Linked DNA regions of Anolis sagrei. The protein of the gene in region 3 purifies or fractionates together with the protein of the main gene of each other region. This does not show direct contact. Links are inferred from orthologs where the notes say so. Each region holds a gene or a part of one and is shown on either strand. Other genes may lie near its edges. The genes, in order: MTA2, POLR1E, KPNA2 and CTDSPL2.

Region 1 (7,536 bases), on a different chromosome or scaffold from region 3:
CCACCTGAGATAATAATAATAATAATAATACTTTATTTATACCCCGCTCCATCTCTCCCAGGGGGACTCGAGGTGGCTTACATGAGGCCATGCCCATCAATACAGCATAACACAATATAACACAAAAGCATAACACAATATAACACAAGGCATAACAGAACTAGAAAACATAAAATGCAAAATCTAAATAATAAACGAGACAGCAGTATAAAATTGGACAGTAAACACACAGAAATTGCACAGGCAAGGCCAGATTTAAGGATAAAAATTAAACATTTAAAATTTTAAAACACTGGGAGATTAGGCAATGGAAACTGTTGGGGAGGGAGATCCGGATTGAGGAAGGAATTCATTGCACGAACCATAAAATAAAGTGCTTCTGAGGTCATTTGTGCGAAATTTGGGAGGGAGTATTTTAAATTCAATCATTGAAGGCACATTGGAATAACCAGGTTTTCATATTCCTCCTGAAGATTGCCAGCGTGGGAACTTGCCTAATGTCTCTGGGGAGTGAATTCCAGAGCCGGGGGGCCACCACAGATAAAGCCCTTTCTCTCGTCCCTACATGTCGCAGTTGCGATGCAGGCGGGAGCGAACTAAGGGCCTCTTCGGAAGATCAAAGAGATTGTGTGAGTTCATAGACGGAAATGCGGTCGTGCAGGTAGGTGGGTCCCAAACTGTTCAGGGATTTGTAGGGTAAAACCTGCACCTTGAATTGGGCCCAGAAGATAAATGGCAGCCAGTGGAGCTCCTTAAACAGGAGGGTTGACCACTCTCTGTAATTCGCTTCAGTTAATAATATGGCTGCTGCCCGTTGGACAAGTTGAAACTTCCGGGCCGTCTTCAAGGGCAGCCCCACGTAGAGGGCATTGCAATAGTCCAATCTAGAGGTAACTAAGGTGTGGACCACTTTGCTTATATACCGCTGTATCTCAAGCCTGAAGGCGACTCACAGCGGTTCACAAACAGTAAAAACAGTAGAAACAGCAGTGGTTCCGTGGTCGACGGTATCGAAGGCCGCTGAGAGGTCCAGCAGCACCAACAGGGACACTCTCCCCCTGTCGAGCTCCCGGCGCAGATCATCCACTAAGGCGACCAAGACTATCTCGGTACCATGTCCCGGCCTAAAGCCAGACTGTGCTGGGTCTAGATAATCCATGTCTACTAAGAATACCTGGAGCTTAGAGAAGACAATGATGCTGGGGAAAATGGAAGGCAAAAAGAGGAGGGGCCGACCAAGGGCTAGATGGAAACCAGGCTTTCGGGCAATCTGACAACTAGATAAAGACAATTAGATGACTAGGACTGACAGGACTGACAAAGTGGAATTGGAATTTGGACTATGAGATGGCGAACACTGAGCGTTAATTAGGTGAAATCGGTTTTATTGGTTTTATTGTTGCAGTGCAGAAACTGATTGTTAAAAAGCACAATTTGATGTTGGCAGCATCAAATTGTGCTTTTGTAAGCCACCCTGAGTCCCCCTCTGGGGTGGGAAGGGCGGGGTAGAAGTAACAAAGTGTTGTTACTCACCTTTAAGGCCTTGCATGGTCTGGGGCCAATGTATCTGAGGGACCGTCTCACCCCCTACCAACCCCAGAGATCCCTCCGTTCTGAGGACCAAGATCTATTGGAAGTCCCCAGTGTCAAGGCCTTGCGTCTAATGGCAACCAGATGCAGAGCCTTCACAGCAGTGGCGCCATCAGTCTGGAATGCTCTGCCACCTGAAGTTCGTGCCCTGTGGGACTTACCAGCTTTCCGCAGGGCATGTAAGACATACCTGTTTCGACAGGCTTTTAATGTTTGATACTGTTGTTTTTAAATTGTTTTAAATTGCTTTTAAACTTTGTTAGATTTTAGCTATTCTTGTAAGCCGCTCCGAGCCCCAGGGGAGTGGCGGCATATAAGTTTAAATAATAAATAAATAAATAACAGAAATAAATAAATAAATAAATGGCATCCTTGAAGTGACTGGATTGACTCTGAAGGAGCTGGGGGTGGTGATGCCCGACAGAGAGCTCTGGCGTGGGCTGGTCCATGAGGTCATGAAGAGTAGGAAATGACTGAACAAACGAACAACAACAAAACACAATGAAGTTCAACAGGGACAAATGCAAGACACTCCACCGAGGCAGAAAAAAGGAAATGCAAAGAGACAAAATGGGGGACGATGCCTGGCGCGACAGCAGTGATGTTGAGCACCCCCCCCCCCAAAAATAAGGGATAGTGACTTATAGTTCTGCAAAGGGCAAGGGCACCAGACTACACAACAAGGGTTAAGTCTTGGTCACATTGCCAAGGCACTGACAACAACAAGGACCCCACGAGGCTTTTGGGAAATGGCTAGATCTTGGGACTTCTGTCCTTTGTGAGAGTTGTAGTTTCCAGAAGCGTGAATCAGTTGCAGCACAGCTGGGGTTTCATCTGCCAGCCTTCCCAATGATCATGGACTCTCTGCCTGCATATCTTGGACTTCAGTACATACTATCTCCCTCATGAACTTTCCTCAAAGACCTTTTAAAACATTGGACTTCAGGCTTCTTCATGAAAATTAATTCTCTTATTAAATATACTTGGAATGTGGGACAAAAATGGGGTTTTGTTGCTATGAAATGCTTATGATTTGAATGTATGTATCTTGCTATGAAATATTGCCTTTCCCCTTTGCCTTTTGCCCTAGAAAATGTGACCCAGGACTGTTGAAATGCTTGAGGGAGAACCACCACCTCCCTTTCTTATTTGATTATTTCACCTCTGCATGGACAGTAGCAAGCTGAAACTTCCTCTTGTTTGCTTTGTCTGGCAGGCAAGGAAGTTTATCTGGACACTTTGATTGAATCACAAAGGGCAGGGTTGATCCCCCCCCCCCCCAGGTCCCCTGCCCCGATCCTCTTTGTTTTCCTTCACCAAAACCCATCAAGGGCAGAAAAACCTTTCTTAATAAAATCAACTTTTACTGGACAAAACAATGCCCCTCTTCCGTCCTGCCTCCCTCTCCCTGATTTGCTAAGGAGCCAAAGAGGGAGGGAGTTTTGAAACTTTCAAACCTGTATTTTCTCTTTAAAAATGCCAGTAAAATTCTGTATTGCTATGCTTGTAGTGGAACTATTCCTACAATACATCTGATTTCAGCTGAATCGCTAATAAAGACACCTCGGTCCCAGCTTCTTCCGCTTTGGTGAGGATTTATTATTTTAAATATTTTTGCTGCTGAAATTGGCTTCGCTGGCCTCACCAAGGTTCAAGGACTCTCTTTGGTGTGGTCCTCAGGATCTCCTCGGCTCGGAAGATCCTCCTAAAAGCAGCTCGATATCAGCAGGACGTGGGAAAAAGGTTTTGAAGTCCTGAACATGAGAACGAATTTCCTAACTGTAAGGAGAGCTGTCCAGCAGTGGAACTCGCTCTCTGCCCTAGAGTGTGGTGGAGGTCCTTCTTTGGAGGCTTTGAAGCAGAGGCTGAATGGCCATCTGTTGTGGGTGCTTTGAATGTAATTTTCCTGCTTCTTGGTGGAATAGGGTTGGACTGGATGGCCTACGAGGTCTCTTCCAACTCTAGGATTCTAGGATTCTATGATTCTAAGGCAGTGACATATCCGGCCCATCCTCTGTTTGGATATCAGCCAGTTACCAATGCCTTAAATCAAGAAACATCTTCCTAAGATCAACAGAGATACTTGCAGGAACACCTCAGCAAGCGAGAGTCCAAAAGTGGCAGGCTCAAACCCAGAACCTGAATCCATTGCTGATACTGAATGAGAGACTCCGTCCTGGGCACACAGAAGATTAGGTGACTTGGAAGGTGCTGAACAGGCTGCGCTCTGGCACCACGAGATGCAGAGCCAACCTTAAGAAATGGGGCCACAAAGTGGAGTCCACGACATGCGAGTGTGGAGAAGAGCAAACCACAGATGACGTACTACAATGTGACCTGAGCCCTGCCACATGCACAATGGAGGGCCTTCTCTCAACAACACCAGAGGTATTCCAAGTGGCAAATTTAGCACAATGCCAAGTTTTTAACTTTGTGTTTTTAAATACATTACAACTGCATCCTTGGCTAGCTTCTGACACAATAAAAAATAAAAATGTAAATAGTTTTAATTCTATGTTGATGTTTATTTTCTTTAGGATGTAAGTGTTGTATTTTTTATCACTGGAGTCTCTTTAGGAGAAAAAAACTGGGTGATCCTGGGCATGTCACACTCTCTCAGCCTCAAATGAGCTCCAACTGATGCGCTATTACAAGGTCGCTAGAAGTCGGGAACGCCTTGAAGTCGAACAACAAAGCCTTAGTTCCTTTCTCTAATAGGGAAAAAAATTCTGGCTCCGATCACAAACGAAAGGTGCAACCTTATAGCCGGAAACGGCCGATCCTTTCCGGAGATTCACGAGGCCCCCTAACAGCGAAAATCGACCAAAACCGAACGCCGCCCGCCGAGCGCTGGCCTCAGGCTTCGCCATTCTACGGCAAGGAACGAATCCTTTCCGGAGATTCCCGAAGCTCACCCGAGCGATTCCGGAAATGCACGAAGGGCTCAAGGCTTGGTCGGCGCTCGCTGCGTGGGAAGGAGAGGCGACGACGACGCCACCGGAGGCGGGAGGGGATGGAGCGCGGCCGGGCCCGGAGTTCCTGAGGCGGCTTGGCCGAGGCGGGCGGAGTCCGGGAGGCGCCATGGCCGCTAATATGTACCGGGTGGGCGGTAAGGCCGGAGCAGGAGCGGGAGGAAGGGAGGGGGCTCCTCGGGGCTCGCTGGAGGGGGGAGGGGCGCCTGAAGGAGCCGGAGGGGGAGGAGAGATCGGGAACTGAGGGGAAGCGGCGAGGGAGTGCGCATGCGCCTCCGGAGTTCGGCCTGGAGGAGTTCGGGGCGCTTGTGGGCGGCGGTGGAGATGGGCCTGGTCTGTGGGGAGAAGCCTGGCGCCAGGGCCGAGGCTCAGGAAGCGGGGCAAAGACCTTGGCGTCTCAATACGAGGGCGGGGGAAAAAGGGGGGGGGGGCAAATGTCATGGCTGGTTCAAAAGAATTGACAAGAAAAGAGAAGCCTGGCTTAGTTGACTCCTTGCCTGTTGGCGTTGTACGTTGTAGATCAGGCATGGGCATACTTGGGCCCTCCAGGTGTTTGGGACTTCAACTCCCATAATTCCTAGCAGCCTGGAGGGCCCAAGTTTGCCCATGCCTGGTATTATGGAAATCAAGGTGTGTTAATTACTGTAGTGTATCACAAGAAATAGTGTTTCTCAGCCCTTAAGCGACTCACAGCGGTTCACAACAAGAACAGCAAAAATTCAATGCTACAATAACACAGCATAAAAAACAGTTAACATCATAACACATTATACAGTAATATACAATTAACAACAATAGCCATTCACTAGCGTCTCGTCACTAAAAAACATGATCCAGATCCATCATCCATTGTTCCATTCCTATGTTCATTACACTCATTGCACTGACTATTCGAACACCTGCTCAAACAACCAGGTTTTCACTTTTTTGCGGAATACCATTAATGATGGAGCTAGTCTAATGTCCGTGGGAAGGGCGTTCCACAGCCGAGGGGCCACCACCGAGAAGGCCCTATCTCTCGTCCCCTCCAGCCGTGCCTGTGAGGCAGGCGGGATCAAGAGCAGGGCCTCCCCGGATGATCTCAAAGTCCTGGTGGGTTCATAGGCAGAGATGCGGTCGGATAGGTAGCTTGGGCCAGAACCGTTTAGGGCTTTAAAGGCCAACGCCAGCACTTTGAATTGAGCCCGGTAGCAAATCGGTAGCCAGTGGAGTTGGCGCAACAGGGGGGTTGTATGCTCCCTGCACTCTGCTCCTGTTAGAATCATGGCTGCCGAGCGTTGGACTAGTTGAAGCTTCCGAACCATCTTCAAAGGCAACCCCACGTAGAGAGTGTTGCAGTAGTCTAAACAGGATGTAACCATAGCCGCCGTGAATCGCCCTAGGGCTGAGAACGGCGGTCTACAAGTGCAGTAAATAAATAAATAATAAATAAATAGCGTGGACTACCGTGGCCAAGTCAGACTTCCCAAGGTACGGGCGCAGCTGGCGCACAAGCTTTAGCTGTGCAAATGCTCCCCTGGTTACCGCCGAAACCTGGAGTTCCAGGCTCAGCGATGAGTCCAGGATCACACCCAAGCTGCGAACCTGCGTCTTCAGGGGGAGTGCGACCCCATCCAACACAGGCTGTAACCCTATGCCCTGTTCGGCCTTGCGACTGACCAGGAGTACCTCTGTCTTGTCTGGATTCAGTTTCAATTTGTTCGCTCTCATCCAGACTGTTACAGCAGCCAGACCCCGGTTCAGGACCTTGACAGCCTCCTTAGTAGCAGGTGGAAAGGAGTGACAGAGTTGGACATCGTCTGCGTACAGATGACACCGTACCCCAAAACTCCGGATGATCTCTCCCAGTGGCTTCATGTAGATGTTAACATGGGAGACAATATTGAGCCCTGTGGAACCCCACAAGACAAAGGTTGTGGGGTTGAACAGGTGTCTCCCAATAACACCTTATGGGATCGGCCCTCTAGGAAAGACCAGAGCCACTGTAAAACAGTACCTCCAAGACCCATCCCCGCGAGGCGTTCCAGAAGGATACCGTGGTCGACGGTATCGAAGGCCGCTGAGAGGTCCAGCAGCACCAACAGGGACACACTCCCCCTGTCGACCTCCCGGCGCAGATCATCCACTAAGGCGACCAAGACTGTCTCAGTTCCATGTCCCGGTCTGAAACCAGACTGTGCCGGATCCAGATAATCCGTGTCTCCCAAGAATACCTGGAGTTGTGAGGCCACCACGCGTTCCAGGACTTTGCCCAAAAAGGGGAGATTGGAAACTGGCCAAAAGTTGTCAAATTTAGTGTGGTCCAGTGAAGGTTAGAATAGCACAAAATCAGTATTATACATAACTAGATTATACTATACTGCTATCCTGGAATATTATTAGTAAAAATTACATGTAATATAAAAAATATAATTATTATATTATAATATTGTATTATTAGTAATATTAGATTGTTTTACAATATTATTATATGGTATTACAATACAATATTGTAATATTGTATTACAATATTATAATATTATGATTATATGTACATAATAATGGTAAATGTTTTCCCCTGACATTAAGTGCAGTTGTGTCCAACAATGGGGGTTTGTGCTCATCTCCATTTCTAAGCCGAAGAGCCAGCATTGTCCCTAGACACCTCCAAGGTCATGTGGCCCGCATGACTGCTTGGAGCGCCATTATATATGTACATACAATATATTATAATTATTAGCATAGCACAATATTAGTATTATATATTATTGTATTGTACTATATCACTATACTGCAATATTATTAGTACTATTACATGTAATATATACTCTATAATTATTATCTTGTATTATTATTAGTATTATGGAGCCCCTGGTGGTGCAATGAGTTAAATCCTTGTGCCGGCAGGACTGAAGACTGACAGGTTGCAGGTTCGAATCCGGGGACAGCGCAGATGAGCTTCCTCTGTCAGCTCTGGCTCCCCATGCGACGACAT
Region 2 (7,789 bases), about 28 Mb from region 3:
GCCCTATCTCCCCAAAGGGACACATCTACGGCAAACATTCAATGCCATTATACAATGAACAAAGACAGACAGTACATAAACAGAGGTAAAGGCTTCCCATCTTTTTCCATCTCCTGCATCTGGAGGCTGTGCTCAACTCCAACCACGGGGTGTGTATGCTGTCGCTCCATCTTCCATGCCGAGGAGCTTTGTTGTCCTTTAGTCACTCTTCCAATAGAATCACCCGCACAGGTGCCTTTTTTTACCTCCCCGCCAAAGCAGTACCTATTTATCTACTCACATTGCTGTTTTCGAACTGTTAGGTGAGCAGAAGTTGGACTGATGGTTGGGAGCTCACCCCAACCTGGGCTTGAACTGTCAGCCTTTCAATCAGCAAGATTTTCTACAGCTGGCGGTTTAACCTGCTGTGCTAAAGCCCGCCCCACAAAAAACTCAACAGAAAAAGATGACTATCCCAAATCAATTTCCGTTTGTAATTTTATTCAAGTTTAGGATTAGCTTCAATGCAGATATTCTAACTCAAGTAAACATACAATTACATCTATTTCTGATGTACAGACACACACATATATATTACCTGCATAGAGTATTGCACTTCAGGGCTCCTGCACCAAAATTATTTCCTACATAAGAAAGTCTCTCTGTTTCTGCATTCTAAAAAAGAAAAAAAAGAAAGATTAATGATTTTTTTGGGGATAAAAATAAGTTTTAAAACTAAAGTAAATGCTCCAAAGGCTCAAAGTTTTTTCCCCACCACAAAATGGGAAGCCATTGGCTTCAAGCCTTTTCAAAGTACCCTAAAAGAAAGTGGAATCTTCATGTCAAACAGCCACACAATGTCAATCTATTTATTTTCTTCTCCTCACTTCCACTGCAGTTGATGCAAAACATGTAAAGAAATAATACGAGGGTGGGTCAAATAGTAATGCCTCCATCGCTCTAACTTTTATTTCTTTCACAGCTATTGAACTATGTGTATATGATATAACAGAGGTAACCTTACTCTACTGATTTAGTCTTTTCGTTTTCCAATTGACTGATTAGAACCATGAATCTGAACGTAAAAGAAAGAGCGGTCATTAAATTTCTGGCAAAAGAAGGTTTTACACCTAAGGGAATCCACCATTGCTTGAAGAATGTTTATGATTTGCCCCCTTCTGACTTTTACCTGTTTGGACCTCTGAAAGACAACCTATGTGGTTTCAGATTTAAAAACATGGATCACAAAGCAAAGCTCTGAATTTTTCCAAAATGGGTTTGATGCCTGGGTTGAATAATGGCAAAAATGTGTACAAATGGATGGTGACAGTTCAACTATGAACTGTAGCGACTGCTGTTATATGACCATTCATAATGTTTTTATGACACAGGAAGCAAAACCTTTTGACTCACCCTTGTACAATGGGAATGGTATGTCTGCACATGTCATTTATTTTAATCCATTTTCCAGACATGGATACTGAATAAGCAAATTTCTGTTTTTTAAGTTATGTCTTAAGGTACCCAGATTCCATGCTGAGCGCATTTTCTGTGACTTTAAGGTAAGCATCAGGAAGAGGAGGAATGTCCTGTCGCTAGAATATATAACAGGTAAGAATACTTGTGTGTGTGTGTGTATGTGTATGTATATAAACACACACATACATATATATATTCATGCACAGGCCCCGGTGGTGCAGTGGGTTAAACTGCTGAGCTGTGAAACTTGTTAACCGAAAGGTTAGTGGTTTGAATTGGGGGAGCGGGGGGAGCTCCCATTGTTATCCCCAGTTTCTGCCAACCTAGCAGTTCAAAAACATGCAAATTTAAGTAGAGCAAATAGGTACCACTTCTGCGGGAAGGTAACGATGAAAATTAATGAAAATTATTGGTGAGTATTTCAATTTCTAAATCCCCCCCTCCCCCGCCATGCAGTCATGCCATCCACATGATCTTGGAGGTGTCTACAGACAATGCCGGCTCTTTGGCTTGGAAGTGGAGATGAGCACCACCTCCCAAAGTCGGACACAACTAAACTTAATGTCAGGGGAAACCTTCACCTTTACTTGAGGCCATATCTGTGAAACTTAAATCTGCCATTTAAGGCTACAATCCTATATCCATCGAGGTGAAATAAATATCACTGAACACTGTATTTCTTGCCTCTGAAGAGACATTGACAAAATTGTTCCATAACAAAACTTCAAAATCTAATAATAAAATCATTTGAGCTTTGTGTAACCCTCTCATGTTGTTGTTGTTCATTCGTTCAGTCGTCTCCGACTCTTCGTGACTCTCATAAGTTTACCAAATAAAAAAGTGGGATAGCTGAGTAAGTAAGCAAATAAATACAATTCCTGTTCACCAGTCTATCAGTCAATTAACAAAGCAAGCTTGCTCTATACCAAACCTGCTTACCAAAGTTACTTTCTGCTTCTTTCTCGGGTTTGTGGTGTCTTTGTTTCTGTATAGGTTGAAAGTCATATTTTCAGAACTCTTCAGTTTGCCATTTGTGAACTGAACTGTGCATGAGTGAGAAAACAAAGGTAAGAAAAATTGTAACACCAGCATTTTAGCCTTTGTGAATGCTTTGTCATGCTTAAACTTAAACCTCTCCCCCCAGCATCAACTGCTGCTCTGGGCCAGACTGAAGAGAGAGGGGGACAGGGACAGTTCCACCTTGTCTCCTGCATATGTCATCAGTTGGGGACCTCTCTCCCAAGCACCAACAAGCCACAAATCCCAGGATCCCATAGCATTGAGACATGGCAGCTAAAGTGGGGCCAGGCTGCACTCCAGGCCTAGAGATCAGGGCTTATTTACTTCAATGACCCGGCCACGTGCTTGAGCCTTTGCAAGGGAGCCCTGGGTGCAAAGGCAAGACCAAACCAGGGAAGAATCAGCACTGAGAGCCTTTCTGGCCCCGATCCCTTACCGAGAGGGGCGCTCTGTCCTTCTTGGGGGTCCCCCCGGTAGCACCACCGAGCCTCCATGGCCAAGGATGCCTCTGTTTCCCCGCGTGTGTCCAGCTGCAGGAAGAGGAGTGGCTTTGATCCCAAGCAAACCCCTTCCGCCTGCGAGGCTCACTCCACGAAGCCTCTGTCGCCACCTGCAGGCAGGAAGGGGGAACTGGCTCGAGTCTCCTTTCCTCATATTTACATTGACAAAATGTAAACACCATGCAGGGGCAAACAGTCCTTTAGGCTGTTAGGAATTGTGAGAGTTGAAGTCCAAAACACCTTGGTAAGGGATCAGGGCCAGAAAGGCCAAAGTTTGCTCATGCCTGATCTACACTGTAGAATCAGTGCAGTTTGATCATGCTACAATTGCTATCCTTCAATGCTCTGGAATCATGGGATCTATAGTCTAGTGAGGCACCAGTGAAGACCATCAACACCGAAATACAACACCGCCTGAGCTCTGCGAGTGCAGCATTTTCCCGAATGAAGCAGAGAGTGTTTGAGGACCGGGACATCCGTAGGGAGACCAAGGTGCTTGTTTATAAAGCTATTGTCCTCCCAACCCTGCTATACACCTGCGAAACGTGGACTGTCTACAGACGTCACATGCAACTCCTGGAACGATTCCATCAGCGCTGCCTCCGGAAAATCCTGCAAATCTCTTGGGAAGACAAGCAGACAAATGTCAGCGTGCTGGAAGAAGCAAAGACGACCAGCATTGAAGCGATGGTCCTCTGCCATCAACTCCGCTGGGCCAGCCACATTGTCCAGATGCCTGACCACCGTCTCCCAAAGCAGTTGCTCTACTTTGAACTTAAGAACGGAAAATGGAACATTGGTGGACAGGAAAAGAGATTTAAAGATGGCCTCAAAGCCAACCTTAAAAACTCTGGCATAAACACTGAGAACTGGGAAGCCCTGGCCCTTGAGCGCTCCAGCTGAAGGTCAGCTGTGACCAGCAGTGCTGCAGAATTCGAGGAGGCATGAGTGGAGGGTGAAAGAGAGAAATGTGCCAGGAGGAAGGTGCATCAAGCCAATCCCGACCGGGACCGCCTTCCACCTGGAAACCAATGCCTTCACTGTGGGAGAAGATGTGGGTCAAGAATAGGGCTCCACAGCCACCTACGAATCCACAAGGAAACCCATCATGGAAGACCATCTTACTCGTCCAACGAGGGATTGCCTAAGTAAAGTAAGAAGACCTTTGTAAACTATAACTTGTTGGGGGAAGCAACTTTCTCAAGCCTCCTCTATATGATGTTTGTCTGTTTTGTAATACATATACCTGAAGTATATGTCTTACTTGATTTGAAGTTTCTTTATCTCTATATACCGAAAGAGCAATGGGAGGGGCTGCAAGTCACATGACTGACTCAGTGATCGTTTAGACCAGGGGTCCTCAAACTAAGGTCCAGAGGCTGAATGCAGCCCTCCAAGGTCATGTACCCAGCCTTCACTTAGGGTCAGCCTAAGTTTGTAACGACTTGAAAGCACACAACAACAACAACAACCCTATCTCATCAGCCAAAAGCAGGCCCACACTTCCCATTGAAATACTAATAAATTTATATTTGTTAAAATTGTTTTTCATTTTAATTATTGTATTGTTTTTAAGTGGTATTTGCACTACAAATAAGATATGTGCACTGTGCATAGGAACTCATTCATGTTTTGTTTTTGTTTTCAAATTATAATCCAGCCCTCCAACAGTTTGAGGGACTGTGACCTGGCCCTCTCTTTAAAAAGTCTGAGCTCTGTTCAGGTGTAAACAGGATGACTGTTAGGGAATGTCAGTTGAGGAATGAATGACTCTTAGAGAAGTGTGTTAAGCCTTGAATGAGCTTCAGTATAGAAGTCTGTAAGAGTTCAGAAGCTCATCTTGATGTCGAACCTGAATTTGAGAGGCTCTGCCTAGGCAGAGACCGGCCAGACCCAAAAAGAGGATCTGGAACACCTGGCGAGACAGCAAGCACCAATGAAGATTTTCTCTAATTTTTCCCAAAATAGTCTCACCAAGTTGAAGGAAAGCCACCGAGATGTTTATTTCATTCCAGCTGGCACGGATGACGACCGCAGTAATCTGTCCAGGAGCTGACATAACTCACTGGGCAGAAAAATACAATATTTATAGCCTTCAGATTCAAAAGTTCCCATGCCCACCCTGAGCTGGTTTTGTAATGAGTGGCTGTGACGTCAGCAAGCCAGGAGGAGATCCAAGGAGTGCCCTGGCCCTGCTTTATCTGCCCAGCCAATGAGGTGGAAGGGAGGCAGGCAACGGGAAAACAATGAAGAAATGTCTAGTTGACTGGATTAAGAATGTCGAGTGTTTACCAAATGACCTGGCGATAGCTTCAGGCTCTCAAGCTTGGTCTGAGTTATTTTTCTGTTTCTTGAATTAACATTTTTGCCTGGCCCTGAAAGGCCAGGTCCTTTGTTTTTACTATCGCGCAATATGGAGTTCATTGATGAAACAGAGATGAGTTTTGGAGATCCAGATGTGGCACAGCAAGGATGCAGTGACAAATCCCTAGTTCCTCGTAGATGAGGAAATGTCCTTGGTGTTGAGTGATCCAATATGTCCACAGACTCCCTTAATCTGGATGACCTGGCTATCAGCCCTCCGATGTCCAGATATATAGAGTCATTTATCTATTGTCCATGCAAATGGATCTGGTTGAATCCTTTGTTAGGGGATTATCAGCTCAGGCAGTTTGGAAACTCCAAAAGCCATGAGTTGCTGGTTTATGAAAAGGTTGCTTTCCTTCATATTTTCTTATATAGACATATATACATATAGGGAATGAGGAATGGGGCAAGGGAACATACACAGAGTTCACAGGAAAAGGGGGAATCATGCAGGGTCTAAGGGGAAGTCAAGTCACCCCCCCCCCCCAAGTCCATAAAAATTTGGCAAGAGTTTATAGAAATTCCTATAAAGCTCATGAAAGTTCATAAGAACTCATAAGAGTTCATGGGGGAGGGGTGCATGGAAGCTCAGGGGAGCACTGAGTAGTCGGGAGTCCATTCATAAAAACAGAAAGAGAGATAGGGATTATGGGATCCATTCAGCCTGGTGTCCTTGGCAAAACCATGAATTCCCTGATTTTGAACTATCTTTTACAGAGCCCTGGAAGTGGAGGGTCACCTCCAATTACCATCTTAGGAAATTAGAAACTGTTGAGGTGTGTGTTTTATTTGAAAGTAAACTCTTATTAAAGAGAGCTGTATAAAACAACATAGTTTATTAAGGAACTGTTAAAGGTTATAAGTTCAAGATACAAACTCTTTGAAACGTTACTGAAGTTTTTAACCCTTGACAAGAAATGTGCCTGTATCTTTAAATACGTGAAGTTATCAGTAAACAAAACTTGTTGTCTTTAATAGAAGTCTGGTTGCATCATTTTCTGTTGAAAGTGTCATACCAAAACAAAATATCTACATGCCCAGCGACCATCCATTACCAAATAAACTCTGCTATCCTAATTAGATTGTGATCCTAACAGTTCATGATTTATACCCCGATGGTCAGTGATCCTAACAGGTCATGATCCATTATCGCCAATATAACTCCCATGATTTCATCGCATTGAGCCATGGTAGTTAAATGAAGGTCAAACTGCATTAATTCTATGATACGGATGCACCCTTGGGTAGGTTAATGTTACTTGCTAAAACCTTTAATGGAATGTATGTGAGAAATCCCACTCTTGTCCCTATTGTTAAGCTTTGGAAAAATCCTTTTGAGTATTTGAAAACCCAATTTCTTATCCACTTAACTGAAAACCCTTCCCTTCCCTTATTATAATTTTGTCTCATCACCCTTTCCCGCTCTTCAAACCTGGCAATTTGTTTTAATTGCTTTTATCATTTATTATTGTTGTTGGCACTGAATGAATGCCTGTTGTGAAGCCGCCCTGAGTCCCCCTCCGGGGGTGAGAAAGACGGGATACAAATATGCGAAACAAATAAATAAATAAGTTATATGGCAATGTGGACTCAGATAAGCCAGTTCAAAGTAGATATTGTGGATGATCTGCCTTGATACTCTTGAGTTATATGGCTGTGTGGAAGGGCCCTGAGACAAGGAGTGCGCAGAAATTGTTTGGCCATGTCCTTCCTTTGAAATATAGCCTACAGGACTTAGTACTCCACCCAAGTACCAACCTGGACGGCTTAGCTTCCATGAGAAAAGCAGTCCCCAACCTGTAGGCCTCTAGGTATTTTGGACTTCAGCTCCTAGATTTCCTGGCTATTAGCCAGGCTGGCTGGGGCTTCTGGGAGTTGAAGCCTCATATCTGGAAGACCAAAGGCTGGGAACCAAGGAAACAGAGTGAAGAGAGGGGAGGCCAGGGGACAGTTCCACCTTGTCTCCTGCACATGTCATCGGTTGGGGCCCCCTCCCCCCAGCACAAAGGCGGTCCTAGGTAATTTTCAACGATAAGTAAACAGTATTTTGCCCCCCCCCCCAACCAATCACTGATATATATTTTCTGTTCATCATGGGAGTTCTGTGTGCCATATTTGTTTCAATTCCACCACTGGTGGAGTTCAGAATGCTCTTTGATTGTAGGTGAACTATACATCCCAGTTACTACAACTCGCATATGTCAAGGTCTATTTTCCCCCAAGAGCGCCTCAAGAGCACCCCTGGGCAAAATCAACTATACTGCAAATGCTTACTTTGCATAATAGGTTGAGCCGCCCCTGCCCCAGCACTAACTGCTACTCTGGGCCAGAGTGAAGAGAGAGGGGGCCAGGGGACAGTTCCATCTTGTCTCCTGCACATGTCATCAGTTGGGGGGCCCTCCCCCCAGGAAAAACTGCCGCTCTGGGCAAGAGTGAAGAGAGGG
Region 3 (6,901 bases):
GTGCTGTATTTCAGAGGAAGGAACTGATGAGACTACCCTATCTAGAAAAGCCTTCTAAGGTTGCCATATGTATCAACATACATATATGGCTACGATATGCATTCATTGATATTGCTTGACATATCATTGCATAAGTCTCCATAGCGTTGCTACCAGGCTGTAGCAGCCACCATTTGGGTTATGGTTATGCTCAAAATGTATTCCTTGTAATAATTTTTGAACACTACTCTCTGGCATTTTGCTAAATGTCCCTTCCCGTTTCAAAAGCTTTTCTTCTTGCTTGGACTGAACAGATGGATCAGTGATTAATTGGAATATTGAGCGGATGCAATTATGTTTTCCCTTTTTTAAAGAGCAGCCAAGGCTGTTTTGAAGTAGGAATTTCCCTAAATTAACTTTAGTGTGGCAACAGTACTAGGTATAGTAAAAAAAAGCACATCATAAACTGATGCAGAAATCCTTTTGGGGGGCATCCGCATTGCAGAAATAATGCAGTTGGACTCCACTTGAACCAGGGCCGTGGCTCAACAAGCTCCCACACCCAGGATCTCATATCACCGAATCCTGGCAATTAAAGTTGTGTCAAAATAAATTCATTCCACACTGTAGATGCACCCTGAAACATCTTGAATTGGAAGTATCTTTAGAGGGTATCTACACTGTAGAAATAAATGCAGTATTGATACCACTTTCGATACTTAGGCGATCCCTTGTAGTCCGAGGATGGTGGTCCTCCAAGTGTAGTGTCCTGGGGGTGGGTCCGTAGGTGGCTGTGGAGCCCTATTCTTGATCTGCATCTTCTCCCACAGTGAGGGCATCGGTTTCCAGCTGGAAGGCGGTCCCAGTTGGGGTTGGCTTGACGCGCCTTCCTCTTGGCACGTTTCTCTCTTTCGCCCTCCATCCATGCCTCTTCAAATTCTACAGCACTGCTGGTCACAGCTGACCTCCAACTTTCGATACCACAGGATTGAATCAGGGGAGAGTGCAGATGAGCTTCTTCTGTCAGCTCCAGCTTCCCATGCAGGGACATGAGAGAAGCCTCCCATAAGGGTGGTAAAACATCAAAACATCCGGACGTCCCTTGAGCAACATCCTCGCAGACAGCCAATTATCCCACACTAGAAGCGACTTGCAGTTTCTCAAGTCACTCCTGATACGAAAAAACCCCACTTTGGCTGGCTCAACGGCATGCAACCATGGGATTTGTAGTTTGGTAAGGTCTAGTACTATTTGGCATACGAGGTTAAAGACCTTATAAAACTACAACTCCCAGTGTAAAAATGCTCCCGTTTCCCCGTTGGAAGCCCATTTTATTCTGAACTAGCCATCCCTTGCCACGCGTTGCTGTGGCCCAGTCTGCATATATGTTCTTTGTGTGTGTATATATGTGTGTTTTGCACATGCATTGTAATTTTTTTATTTTTTGGCTATTTATTTTTTGGTTTTTCAGTGGGTTTTTTTTTTGAGTGATGGTCACTGGCCTGATAGGTGTCTTGTGTCCAAATTTGGTGTCAATTCGTCCAGTGGTTTTTGAGTTCTGTTAATCCCACAAATGAACATTACATTTTTATTTATATAGACTAGCCATCCCCTGCCATGCGTTGCTGTGGCCCACTTTGGTGGTCATGGGGGTTCTGTGTGGGAGGTTTGGCCCAATTCTATAATTGGTGGGGTTCAGAATGCTTTGTGATTGTAGGTGAACTACAAATCCCAGCAACTACAACTCCCAAATGTCAAGATTCGATTTCCCCCAAACTCCACCAGTGTTCACATTTGGGCATATTGAGTATTCGTGCTGAGTTTGGTCCAGATCCATCAGTGTTTGAGTGCACAGTGCTCTCTGGATGTAGGTGAACTACAACTCCAAAAGGAAAGGACACTGCCCACCAAACCCTACCAGTATTTTCTGTTGGTCATGGGAGAACTGCGTGCCATTCCATCGTTGGTGGGGTTCAGAATGTTCTTTGATTGTAGGCGAACTATAAATCCCAGCAACTACAACTCCCAAATGACAAAATCAATATTTTTTGAGTGAAGGACATACATTGGGTTGTTAGGTGTCTTGTGTCCAAATTTGGTGTCAGTTCCCCCAGTGTTTTTTGAGTTCTGTTAATCCCACAAACGAACATTACATTTTTATTTATATAGAAGAAGATAGAGGACTACCCACTAAAGTCGTTTAAATATAAGAAGGGCCCTTAAATCATTGGGAGCATTTGTTGCATGGCATGCAAAGAGGAAGACTTTGCCACAGTGGGCTAATTCAAAACCTCATCCGTTCCAGCCGGATCTACTCGAAGGATGGCTCAGATGTCTGCTATCAAAATGAGAAAGACACTCCACGAATTTGGGCCTCCCTGCAAAACAACAAGGCACGACCCAGATGGGACTCGAACCCACAATCCCCAGCTCCGGAGGCTGATGCCTTATCCATTAGGCCACTGGGTCACCCGGCAAAAACGGCTGAGCGCCGCACTCTAAGCGCCCCGCCCGGATATGCTTGGCCACGCCTACTTCCTGTCTGCAATCCAGGCCTTCAGTCCCCTCTCTTAAAATAAGCCACGCCCCTCTCCGTCCTATTCGGTCTAAGCGACCGCCCTTTAATGCCGCTCTAGCCCCGCCCACTCAGCCAGTCTATTTGCATATAGAACGCCGGAGGGCAAGGAAGGCGTTTCCCACCTTGAGTGCTGTTTTCCTTGTCACGTGTGAATGGAAGATACGTGTATATTTTACACGTCCATGCATGGAAGCGCTTGCAAGTTTGAGATCAACCAGGAATGACAGAACAGTGCCTTGCCTGGGTGGCTGATAGCTTACCTTCGTCTTGCCATAGGCTACATCTACACTGCCAAATTAATGCGGTTTGGCACCGCTTTAACTGCTTTGACTCAATGATATTTTTTTAATATAAGGTCTGGGCCTCCTCTGCCAAGCTATTTTTTGCCTCACCAAATTACAAACCTAAAGATTCCAGATTATTGAGCCATGGGGGTTAAAGTAGTATCGAACTGCGTTAATTCTACAGTGCAGATGCATCCCAAGTATTGATTAGGACATCATTTTCATTTTGAACCGTGTTCTAAATATTATATTATGATATTATTATATAATATTCTATCATAATATTATATTATAATATAATAATATAATATAATATTATATATATATATTATATAATATGATAATATTGTAATATGTATTATATTATAATATAATATATTATATTATACTCTATATTATATTATATTTTATTATATGTTATTATATTACATAATATTATGATAATATTATAATACATATTATATTATATGTTGTAATATAATATTATGATAGAATAATATTATGATATTATATAATATTATGATACTATTCTAATATTATGATAATCTATCACACATTTCAAAAACCAACAACAGATCTAAATGACATGATTCATAGGCCCCTTCCACACAGCTGAATAAAATCCATATTGAACTGGATCATATGGCAGTGTGGACTCAGATAACTCAGTTCAAAGCAGAGCCTGTGGGATTTTCTGCCTTGATGTTCTGGGTTATGCGGCTGTGTGAAAGTATTTGGGCATTGAAGCTTGGTAGCACTCTTTGGCAGAGAAGGTTAAAGAGCGCGTAAAACTACAACTCCCATGGCGCCCTTGGCAGTTAAACGGTCTGAACATGCAGCGTTGCCTTCTGGGAAATGGAGTCTTGAAGGCGGTTGACAATGGTCGACGTTACTCTCAAGGCCTCGAGGGATGCCCCGCCTCCCCCAGCAGCGCGAGGCGGAGGAGTTTCCTTTCCGTCTTTTCAAACTGGCCAATGGCGGCTTTGCTTTGACTCGAACTGGCCAATGAGAGAGCGAAGGCGCTGGAAATTTAAATCGGGGCCGACCCGCTGCTCCTTCGTCTTCTTCCTCTGGAGCCGCAACGTGTCGGAGGAGACTCTGAGGCCGGGCTACGAGGCGGGAAGGAGGCGCTGCTGCTGTTGCCAGGTGGGTCGGAAAGACGCTTTCTTCACCTCCTTCTTTTAATTAAGGGCGATTATTTCCACTAGGAGAGGCTCATTAAGTCTTAGAGAAGGGGAGAAACGGTTAGAACCGAAACTGAAGGTCATATGGACTGTTTTCTCTTTAAATATAGGCAGGCTTGAGGGGAATGTGCCTTTTTCTAGGCCCAAAAGCCCTCTCAGGTTTGTTCCTTCACGTCCAGGTGGTTCACCTCCCTCCTAAATTCCCCTGGACGTTTCCCTCACACCAGAATATGAAAAAAAGCATAGAGATTTGTGAGATAGCTTCCCCCTCTGGCATTCATCTGCCCAAGTGAATCAGGGGTATATAGCACTGAATGAAACACTGGATAATCACAAGATAACTCAAACCTACATCTGTTGGTAGACTCTGTATGTATTGTTGAAGGCTTTCATGGCTGGAATCACTGGGTTGTTGTATGTTTTTTCGGGGTATATGGCCATAAGTTCTAGAAGCATTCTCTCCTGACGTTTCGCCTACATCTATGGCAAGCATCCTCAGAGGTTGTGAGGTCTCCCTCTGAGGATGCTTGCCATAGATGCAGACGAAACGTCAGGAGAGAATGCCTCTAGAACATGGCCATATACCCCAAAAAAACCTGACCTCACAATCTCTGAGGATGCTTGCCATAGATGCAGGCGAAACGTCAGGAGAGAATGCCTCTAGAACATGGCCATATAGCCCAAAAAACCCTGACCTCACAACCTCTGAGGATGCTTGCCATAGATTCAGACGAAACGTCAGGAGAGAATGCCTCTAGAACATGGCCATATACCCCGAAAAAACCTGATCTCACAACCTCTGAGGATGCATGCCATAGATGCAGGCGAAACATCAGAAGAGAATGCCTCTAGAACATGGCCATATACCCCGAAAAAAACTGACCTCACAATCTCTGAGGATGCTTGCCATAGATGCAGGTGAAACGTCAGGAGGGAATGCCTCTAGAACATGGCCATATAGCCCGAAAAAAATGACCTCACAACCTCTGAGGATGCTTGCCATAGATGCAGGCGAAACGTCAGGAGAGAATGCCTCTAGAACATGGCCATCTACCCTGAAAAAACCTGACCTCACAACCTCTGAGGATGCTTGCCATAGATGCAGACGAAACGTCAGGAGAGAATGCCTCTAGAACATGGCCATATAGCCCGAATAAACCTGACCTCACAACCTCTGAGGATGCTTGCCATAGATGCAGATGAAACGTCAGGAGAGAATGCCTCTAGAACATGGCCATATAGCACGGAAAAACCTACAACAACACAGACTTTATATGTGTTAGCTAATGTGTGACTGGAAGTTGCTGCCAACTGTGAGAGAAATAAGGTTGAATACTATGAAAGAAGAACTTGATTTTCTACCCCTCCTCCATCTCCCTGAAGGGACTCTAGGCGGCTTACATGGGGCCAAGTCCAGGCAGAATAGAATTAAAAACAGAACAGTAGCAAATATCAAATTAAAAATAGCATAAAACACTATAACAGTAGTAAACAAGCATCAAGCAACAGCAGACTAATTTTTGGAGGGGGAAGGAGGCCAGTATGCGAAACTGGTGGTTGTTGATGTTGTTATTATTATTATTAAAGGGTAAGTGGTTCAGTAAGGTGGGTAGAAACGTATAATAGCATAGGAAATAGCATGAAAACAGTATCAGGATTAATTCAGCTTAATTTACAAATATGAATAGTGATGTAATATAGGAATTCGGATTAAATAATGATTAAGGTCATGATCCAGGTCATAGGAGTCATTAATCGAATGCACGACAAAACATCCACGTCTTTAATTCCTTGCGGAATGTGGAAAGGGAAGGTGCCAGCCTAATCTCCCTGGGGAGGGAGTTCCAGAGACGAGGGGCCACCACCGAAAATGCCCTTTCTCCCATCCCCACCAACCACGCCTGAGATGGGTGGGAGCAAAAGAAGAGCATCCCCGGAAGATCTTAAGCACCGTGTGGGCTCATAGGGGAGGATACGGTCGCGCAGATAGGCAGGTCCAGAACCATTTAGAGTGGTAGTTCTCAGCCTGTGGATCCCCAGGTGTTTTGGCCTACAACTCCCAGAAATCCCAGCCAGTTTACCAACTATTAGGATTTCTGGGAGTTGAAGGCCAAAACATCTGGGGACCCACAGGTTGAGAACCACTGATTTAGAGCTTTATAGGTAATAACCTGCACCTCCTCCCAGGGTCCCCAGATGTTTTGGGCTTCAACTCCCAGAAATCCTAACAGCTGGTAAACTGGCTGGGATTCTTGGGAGTTGTAGGCCAAAACACCTGGGACCCACAGGTTGAGAACCACTGTAGTAGACTCAAATCAAGGAAAAGTTTCATGAGAACCATCACTCTGCTTAAGTTCCCCCAGCAACAGCAAGAGCATACCTCTGGGCAGTTAAACCAGGAAATCCCAACTGGATGGCCCCCCACGAGGGTCTTCCTCCAGGGGTAAACCAAGGTTGGGGTACTTGGAAGTCCCTGAACAGACTCAGAAGTGGATTTGGCAGATCAAAAGACAACTTGGCAAAATGGCAATACCGAGGTGCCCTTCCAGACAGGCCCTATATGCCAGGATCTGATCCCAGGTTTTCTGCTTTAGACTAGATTATGAGTCCCCACTGCCAGTAATCTGGGATATACAGAAGACCTGGGATCAGATCCTGGGATATAGGGCCTGTCTGGAAGGGACCTAGAAGAATCCTACACCTTGTGTGACTCTGGAGCAGAACAAACAACTCCGCACCTGTATACTTGCCCACAATGCCCTGCCTCATGCACAGAGGAAGTACTATTTAAAACTAGACAATGCGATTGCTGTTGCCTGTTTTTGGTCCAAAATTATGTGCTCCCTTTATTTTATCATTTTTATACTTATTTATTT
Region 4 (7,544 bases), on a different chromosome or scaffold from region 3:
CTGCCTCCTTCGCAGGCACGGTTGGTGGGGACAACAAACAGGGCCTTCTCAGTGGTGATCCCTCGGTTCTAGAACTCCCTCCCCAGTGAAATTAGATCAGCATCCTCCCTCCTGGCCTTGAGAAAAAACATAAGGAGATGGCTATGGGACCAAGCCTTCGGGCAGTAAAGTAATGCAGTACAAGAAATGATTAGGAAATAGGTACAATTGACAATAGGAATGTTTTGGATTACGATTCTGGATTGTGTGATTTTAATGTTATATTAAGATGTTTTGAATTCTATGTTTTAACTGTTTAAATGGAATCCGCCCTGAGTCCCCCTTGGGGAGATAGAGTGGAATACAAATAAAGTTTCATTCTTATTATAATATATATACGTATATGTATTAGTCTAAGAGGACATGTGAGACCTGTATTACATATATGTAATATAGTATAATGTATTATAACATAGAACAGTATGAATGAGGCCTGTATTACATATATGTAATATAGTATAATATATAATGTAGAGTAAGATATAAGAGGACGAACAAGGCCTGTACTAGATATATATAATATAGTATAATATATAATGTAGAGTAAGGTATAAGAGGACGAGCAAGGCCTGTATTAGATATAAGCAATATAGTATAATATATAATGTAGAGTAAGATATAAGAGGACGAGCAAGGCCTGCATTAGATATATATAATATAGTATAATATATAATGTAGAGTAAGATATAAGAGGACAAGCAAGGCCCGTATTACATATACCGTATATACTCGAATATAAGCCGACCCAAATATAAGCCGAGGCACCTAATTTTACCACAAGAAACTTGGAAAATGTATTGACTCGAGTATAAGCCGAGGGTGAAAAATGCAGCTGCTACTGAAAATCATCAGTAGGTTAAATGTTTTTGTGTATTTACATAAAACTGTAATTTAAGATAAGACTATCCAACTCTGATGAAACCATTATTCTAACCTTCTTTATGTGCTTACGTATCCTTCCAATAATAATAGAGTAAAATAAGAAATATAATAATAATAATAATAATAATAATAATAATAATAATAATAGAGTAAATAATGGAAATTTAATAACAGTAAGAGAGTAAAATAATAAATGTAATAATAATAATAGAGTAAATACTGGAAATTTAATAACAGTAAGAGAGTAAAATAAATGTAATAATAATAATAGAGTAAATAATGGAAATTTAATAACAGTAGTAGAGTAAAATAATAAATGTAATAATAATAATAATAATAATAGAGTAAATAATGGAAATTTAATAACAGTAAGAGAGTAAAATAATAAATGTAATAATAATAATAATAATAATAATAGAGTAAATAATGGAAATTTAATAACAGTAAGAGAGTAAAATAATAAATGTAATAGAATCATAGAATCATAGAATCCTAGAGTTGGAAGAGACCTCATGGGCCATCCAGTCCAACCCCCTGCCAAGAAGCAGGAATATTGTATTCAAATCACCCCTGACAGATGGCCATCCAGCCTCTGTTTAAAAGCTTAATAATTAATAATTACTCTATTATTAATAATAATAATAGAGTAAATAATGGAAATTTAATAACAGTAAGAGAGTAAAATAATAAATGTAATAATAATAATAATAATAATAATAGAGTAAATAATGGAAATTTAATAACGGTAATAGAGTAAAATAATAAATGTAATAATAATAATAGAGTAAATAATGGAAATTTAATAATGGTAATAGAGTAAAATAATAAATGTAATAATAATAATAATAGAGTAAATAATGGAAATTTAATAACTATAAGAGAGTAAAATAATAAATGTAATAATACATTGAGTAAAATAATGAACGTAACACAATAATAGTACAGTAAAAAGAACATAATAATAATAGAGTAAAATGTAATAAAAATAATACTAATAACAGAGAAAAATATTAAATAACCTTGACTCGAGTATAAGCTAAGGGGAGATTTTTTAGCCTAAAAAAGGGGGCTGAAAAACTAGGCTATATACACCTCCTGTCACATCAGCACTTTTAATCTTGTACCCATTGCTCTGGCCCGGCCCAGTTTTATTGTGTTTAGTGTATTGTGCCTGTTGTTTATTTTGCTTTATTCTGTTTTTAATTGTTTGATTTGCTTAGATTGTATTGTTGTGTTGTGTGTTGAGGCCTTGGCCTTCGTAAGCCGCATCGAATCCTTCGGGAGATGCTAGCGGGGTACAAATAAAGTTTAATAATAATAATAATAATAATAATAATAGGCTTATACTCGAGTATATACAGTATGTGATATAGTATAATATATAATGTAGAGTAAGTTATAAGAGGACGAGCAAGGCCTGCATTAGATATATGTCATATAGTATAAGATATATCAGGCATGGGCAACCTTAGGCCTTTGGACTTCAACTCCCACCATTCCCAACAGCCTCAGCAGGCCCCTTCCTTTCCTTTGAGAGGGAAAAGGAAGAGGCCTAAGGCTGTGAGGAATGGTGGGAACTGGGAGTCCAAAACACCTGGAGGGGAGGCCCAAGCTTGCCCATGCCTGATACATAATGTACAGTAAGATATAACAGGACGCGCGGCGCTTGTATTCTTCCAGAGCTGCCTGGGCGCTCTGCACGTGCTCAGAGGCCCCCTGCTCGCCTCCCCTTCCTCCTTCCCTGACAAGAGCCCACCCCACTCCGACTGCGGCCTAGTCCTCCGAAGAGAGCGGCCCTCAATTTACCTGAGGGGCGCGAGAGGGAGGCTTCTGAGGGAAGGGCGTCCCTGGAAGCCCTTCGCCTTCTTCCTTCTTCCCGTCCTTCCTTCCTTCCTTCGGTTTCCCCTTCCTTCCTGCCCGTCCTTTCCTTCTCCGGCTCCCCAGCGGCCGGGACTGACCGCTGCTCAGCAGCAGCCCCGGCAGCGGCCCGTCGCCATTTCCCGCCTACCGACCTGCTGCACCGCACGGAAGGACCCGGATGCTGCTGGCGCGAGGGGGGAGAAATTGAGGGAAAGGGAGCTGGGGAATGCCGGTGCGCATGCGCGGAGGGGATGAAGGGGAAATCTGACTGGGGGAAAGGCGCATGCGCGGAGGGTAAGGGAAAGCTGACTGGGGGGAGGTGCGCATGCGCGGGGGACGGGCGCGGGAAGGAGGTACTTTTTTTCCTTCCCCCTTGACAGACTGACGGGCACACCGAATGGCTCTCCGCACATGCTCAAGGGAAAGCCTCGGCCCACCTTGAGGACGGCTCCCTTCGCCACGTGAGTTTCTCCTCCACACAATTAAGCCCCAAAACTATCGAGAATCGTAGCTGGGCGAAGTTGGAAGGGACCTCTAAAGGGCATCTAGTCCAACCCCTTTGATTCTGCTTTCCTGCAGCGAAAGCACAATCAAAGCCTTCCCGGCAGATGGCCAGCCACCCATAATGATTAAGATAGACATGTGCCTATTATATATATATATATATATACACACACACACACACACACACACTCCTACATTTGGAAGGGATCTCTAAAGGGAATCTAGTCCAACACCCTTGATTCTGCTTTCATGCAGGAAAAGCACAATCAAAGCCTTCCCGGCAGATGGCCACCCACCCATAATTATTAAGTTAAACATATGCCTATGATATATACATATATATATATATATATCTCCTACATTTGGAAGGGACCTCTAAAATGCATCTAGTCCAACCCCCTTGATCCTGCTTTCATGCAGGGAAAGCACAAGCAAAGCCTTCCCGGCAAATGGGCAGCCACCCATAATGATTAAGATACTCCTACATTTGGAAGGGGCCTCTAAAGGGCATCTAGTCCAACCCCCTTGATCCTGCTTTCATGCAGGGAAAGCTCAATCAAAGTCTTCCCGGCAGATGGCCAGCCACCCATAATGATTAAGATACTCCTACATTTGGAAGGGGCCTCTAAAGGGCATCTAGTCCAAACCCCTTGATTCTGCTTTGCAAGAAAAGTACACTCAAACCTTCCTGGCAGATGGCCAGCCACCCATAATGATTAAGATACTCCTACATTTGGAAGGGGCCTCTAAAGGGCATCTAGTCCAACCCCCTTGATTTTGCTTTCATGCAGGGAAAGCACAATTAAAGCCTTCCCGGCAGATGGCCAGCCACCCATAATGATTAAGATACTCCTACATTTGGAAGGGGCCTCTAAAGGGCATCTAGTCCAAGCCCCTTGATTCTGCTTTCATGCAAGAAAAGTACACTCAAACCTTCCTGGCAGATGGCTAGCCACCCATAATGATTAAGATAGACATATGCCTATGATATATATACCTATATCCCCTACATTTGGAAGGGACCTCTAAAGGGCATCTAGTCCAACTCCCTTGATTTTACTTTCATGCAAGAAAAGCACAATCAGAGCCTTCCTGGCAGATGGCCAGCCACCCATAATGATTAAGATAGACATGTGCCTATTATATATATATATACACACACACACACACACACACACACACTCCTACATTTGGAAGGGATCTCTAAAGGGAATCTAGTCCAACACCCTTGATTCTGCTTTCATGCAGGAAAAGCACAATCAAAGCCTTCCCGGCAGATGGCCACCCACCCATAATTATTAAGTTAAACATATGCCTATGATATATACATATATATATATATATATATCTCCTACATTTGGAAGGGACCTCTAAAATGCATCTAGTCCAACCCCCTTGATCCTGCTTTCATGCAGGGAAAGCACAAGCAAAGCCTTCCCGGCAAATGGGCAGCCACCCATAATGATTAAGATACTCCTACATTTGGAAGGGGCCTCTAAAGGGCATCTAGTCCAACCCCCTTGATTTTGCTTTCATGCAGGGAAAGCACAATTAAAGCCTTCCCGGCAGATGGCCAGCCACCCATAATGATTAAGATACTCCTACATTTGGAAGGGGCCTCTAAAGGGCATCTAGTCCAAGCCCCTTGATTCTGCTTTCATGCAAGAAAAGTACACTCAAACCTTCCTGGCAGATGGCTAGCCACCCATAATGATTAAGATAGACATATGCCTATGATATATATACCTATATCCCCTACATTTGGAAGGGACCTCTAAAGGGCATCTAGTCCAACTCCCTTGATTTTACTTTCATGCAAGAAAAGCACAATCAGAGCCTTCCTGGCAGATGGCCATCCATCCATAATGATTAAGATAGACATATGCCTATTATGCCTATTATATATATATTATATCTATATATGTATACAACTCCCTTCATCAGGGCAAGAAAACGTAATCAAAGTCCTTCTGACAAAGAGCCATCCTCTAAAGGTCAATCAGTCCAATCCTCTTCTGCCAGGCAGGAAAAGCACCATCCAAGCTCTCCCAACAGATGACAAGCCAGCTATAGATATGATAGATGTGACTGAGATAGACATATGTGTATGGTATATATAATACTACAGTTGGAAAGGACTTCAAGGGGAATCTTGTCCAACCCCCCCCCCCCCAATTATTCTGCCTTCATGCAGGAAAAGCATCACCCAAGCCCTCCTGGCAGATGGCCAGCCAGCCATAGATAAGATTAAGATAGACATATGTCTATGATATATATAGAATACTGCAATTGGAAGGGACCTCTAGAGAACATCCAGTTCAATCCCTTTTATTCTGCCTTCATGCAGGAAAAGCACAATCGGCAAATGGCTGGCCAGCCATAATGATTGAGATAGACCTATGTCTATGATATATATATAGAATACTACAGTTGGAAGTGACCTCTAAAGGGCACCTTGCCGAACCCCCCCCCCCCCTTTATTCTGCCTTCTTGCAAGAAAAGCACTATTAAACCTTCCCGACAGATGGCCAGCCAGCCATAGATATGATAGATGTGATTGAGATAGACATATGTCTATGATATATACAGAATCTAAGTTGGAAGGGACCTCTAAAGGATATCCAGTCCAACCTCCTTCTGTCAGCCAGGAAAAGCACCATCAAAGCCCTCCTGACAGGTGGCCACCTAGCCTCTGCTTGTGGACTGATAGAATCCTGGAGTTGGAAGAGACTCCTAAAGGATATCCAGTCCAACCCCCTTCTGACCTGCAGGAAAAGCACAATCAAAGTCCTCTTGACAGGTGGCCACCTAGCCTCTGCTTGTGGACTGATAGAATCCTGCAGTTGGAAGAGACTCCTAAAGGATATCCAGTCCAACCCCCTTCTGACCTGCAGGAAAAGCACCATCAAAGCCCTCCTGACAGGTGGCCACCTAGCCTCTGCTTGTGGACTGATAGAATCCTGGAGTTGGAAGAGACTCCCAAAGGATATCCAGTCCAATCCCCTTCTGACCTGCAGGAAAAGCACAATCAAAGCACTCCCAGCATATGGCCATCCAGCTTCTGAATAATAATAATAATAATAATAATAATAATAATAATAATATGCCAAAGTTGGAAGAGACCCCCAAAGGACATCCAGTTCAATACCTTTCTGCCAGGCAGGAAAAGCGCAATCAAAGCACTTCCAACAGATGACCATCCAGCCTCTGCTTCAAAGCCTCCAAGGAAGAAGGTTCCATTAGATTTCACCAAGTTGGGGCACCTCTATATTGGAGAATGATGGCTCAGGGCTGTGGTATAATAATAATAATAATCATCATCATCTTTATTTATACCCCGCCACCATCTCCCCAAAGGGGACTCGGGGCAGCTTACATGAGGTAAAATTAACCCGCTGTCCTTCAAAATACACAAAACAAAGATCATTCATGACTTTCTAAAGCTACAACTTCCAGGATTCTGTGAGCCCTGGCTATTCAAGCAGTGCCAAACTGCATCTGTTCTACAGTGTCATTGGCTCCTTTGTATACATGGAAGCCATGAGAAGCATGGCTTCCATGTCGCTGTCTTGGCCATCCAAGTAAACCAGTGGTTCCCAACCAGTGGCCTGCAGACCACTAGAGGCCCGCAAGAACTAAAATATGTCCGCAAAACATTTAACATTTAAAATCTTTATTCATTTTAATGAATCAGTTGCTACACCAGCAAGTAGGATGTCGGACGAACGCTTGATGTCATGTGTCAAGTACTCATGTACTCAGTCGCATGCGTGGTCTCATTAAGAGCCACATCCACTGTTTTAACATGTTGAGATGTATTCCACACTGGGCCTGCGTATTCAGCAGCAGAGTAGCAAAGCGCAAGGGCAGATGTCTTCATTGTGTCTGGTTGTGATCCCCAGGTTGTGCCAGTCAGCTTTCATATGATATTGTTTCTAGCTCCCACTTTTTGCTTGATAGTCAAGCAGTGCTTCCTGTAAGTCAGAGCACGGTCCAGAGTGAATCCCAGGTATTTTTGTGGAGTGTAAAACTGGGGTATAAATAATAATAATAATAATAATAATAATAATAATAATAATAGCTGACATGATATGAGGATTTAAAAATCGAACTGCAAAGACTCTGGCACAAACCAGTAAAGTGGTGATCGGCACCCTGGGTACAGTGCCTAAAGACCTTGGCCTGCACTTACACACAATCGGCACTAACAAAATTGCCAGCTGCAGAAGGCCACCTTACTGGGATCTGCACACATTATT

The links.
Region 1: the proteins of KPNA2 (region 3) and MTA2 purify together in Homo sapiens (affinity purification with mass spectrometry; 4 studies listed by BioGRID and IntAct, with this or other methods). This does not show direct contact. The link is inferred for Anolis sagrei from reciprocal best matches to the Homo sapiens genes KPNA2 and MTA2.
Region 2: the proteins of KPNA2 (region 3) and POLR1E purify together in Homo sapiens (affinity purification with mass spectrometry; 3 studies listed by BioGRID and IntAct, with this or other methods). This does not show direct contact. The link is inferred for Anolis sagrei from reciprocal best matches to the Homo sapiens genes KPNA2 and POLR1E.
Region 4: the proteins of KPNA2 (region 3) and CTDSPL2 purify together in Homo sapiens (affinity purification with mass spectrometry; 4 studies listed by BioGRID and IntAct, with this or other methods). This does not show direct contact. The link is inferred for Anolis sagrei from reciprocal best matches to the Homo sapiens genes KPNA2 and CTDSPL2.

Annotation. Positions count from the first base shown.
Region 1 is NC_090032.1:12,528,018-12,535,553, reverse strand, and holds the start of MTA2 (metastasis-associated protein MTA2), read left to right. Parts: upstream 1-4,534; 5' UTR 4,535-4,671; coding exon 4,672-4,699; intron 4,700-7,536. UniProt on the Homo sapiens protein: May function as a transcriptional coregulator. Acts as a component of the histone deacetylase NuRD complex which participates in the remodeling of chromatin.
Region 2 is NC_090022.1:152,394,589-152,402,377, forward strand, and holds the start of POLR1E (DNA-directed RNA polymerase I subunit RPA49), read right to left. Parts: upstream 3,023-7,789; 5' UTR 2,973-3,022; coding exon 2,915-2,972; intron 2,502-2,914; coding exon 2,398-2,501; intron 655-2,397; coding exon 578-654; intron 1-577. UniProt on the Homo sapiens protein: Component of RNA polymerase I (Pol I), a DNA-dependent RNA polymerase which synthesizes ribosomal RNA precursors using the four ribonucleoside triphosphates as substrates.
Region 3 is NC_090022.1:179,962,836-179,969,736, reverse strand, and holds the start of KPNA2 (importin subunit alpha-1), read left to right. Parts: upstream 1-3,883; 5' UTR 3,884-3,987; intron 3,988-6,901.
Region 4 is NC_090029.1:23,291,805-23,299,348, reverse strand, and holds the start of CTDSPL2 (CTD small phosphatase-like protein 2), read right to left. Parts: upstream 3,004-7,544; 5' UTR 2,728-3,003; intron 1-2,727. UniProt on the Homo sapiens protein: Probable phosphatase.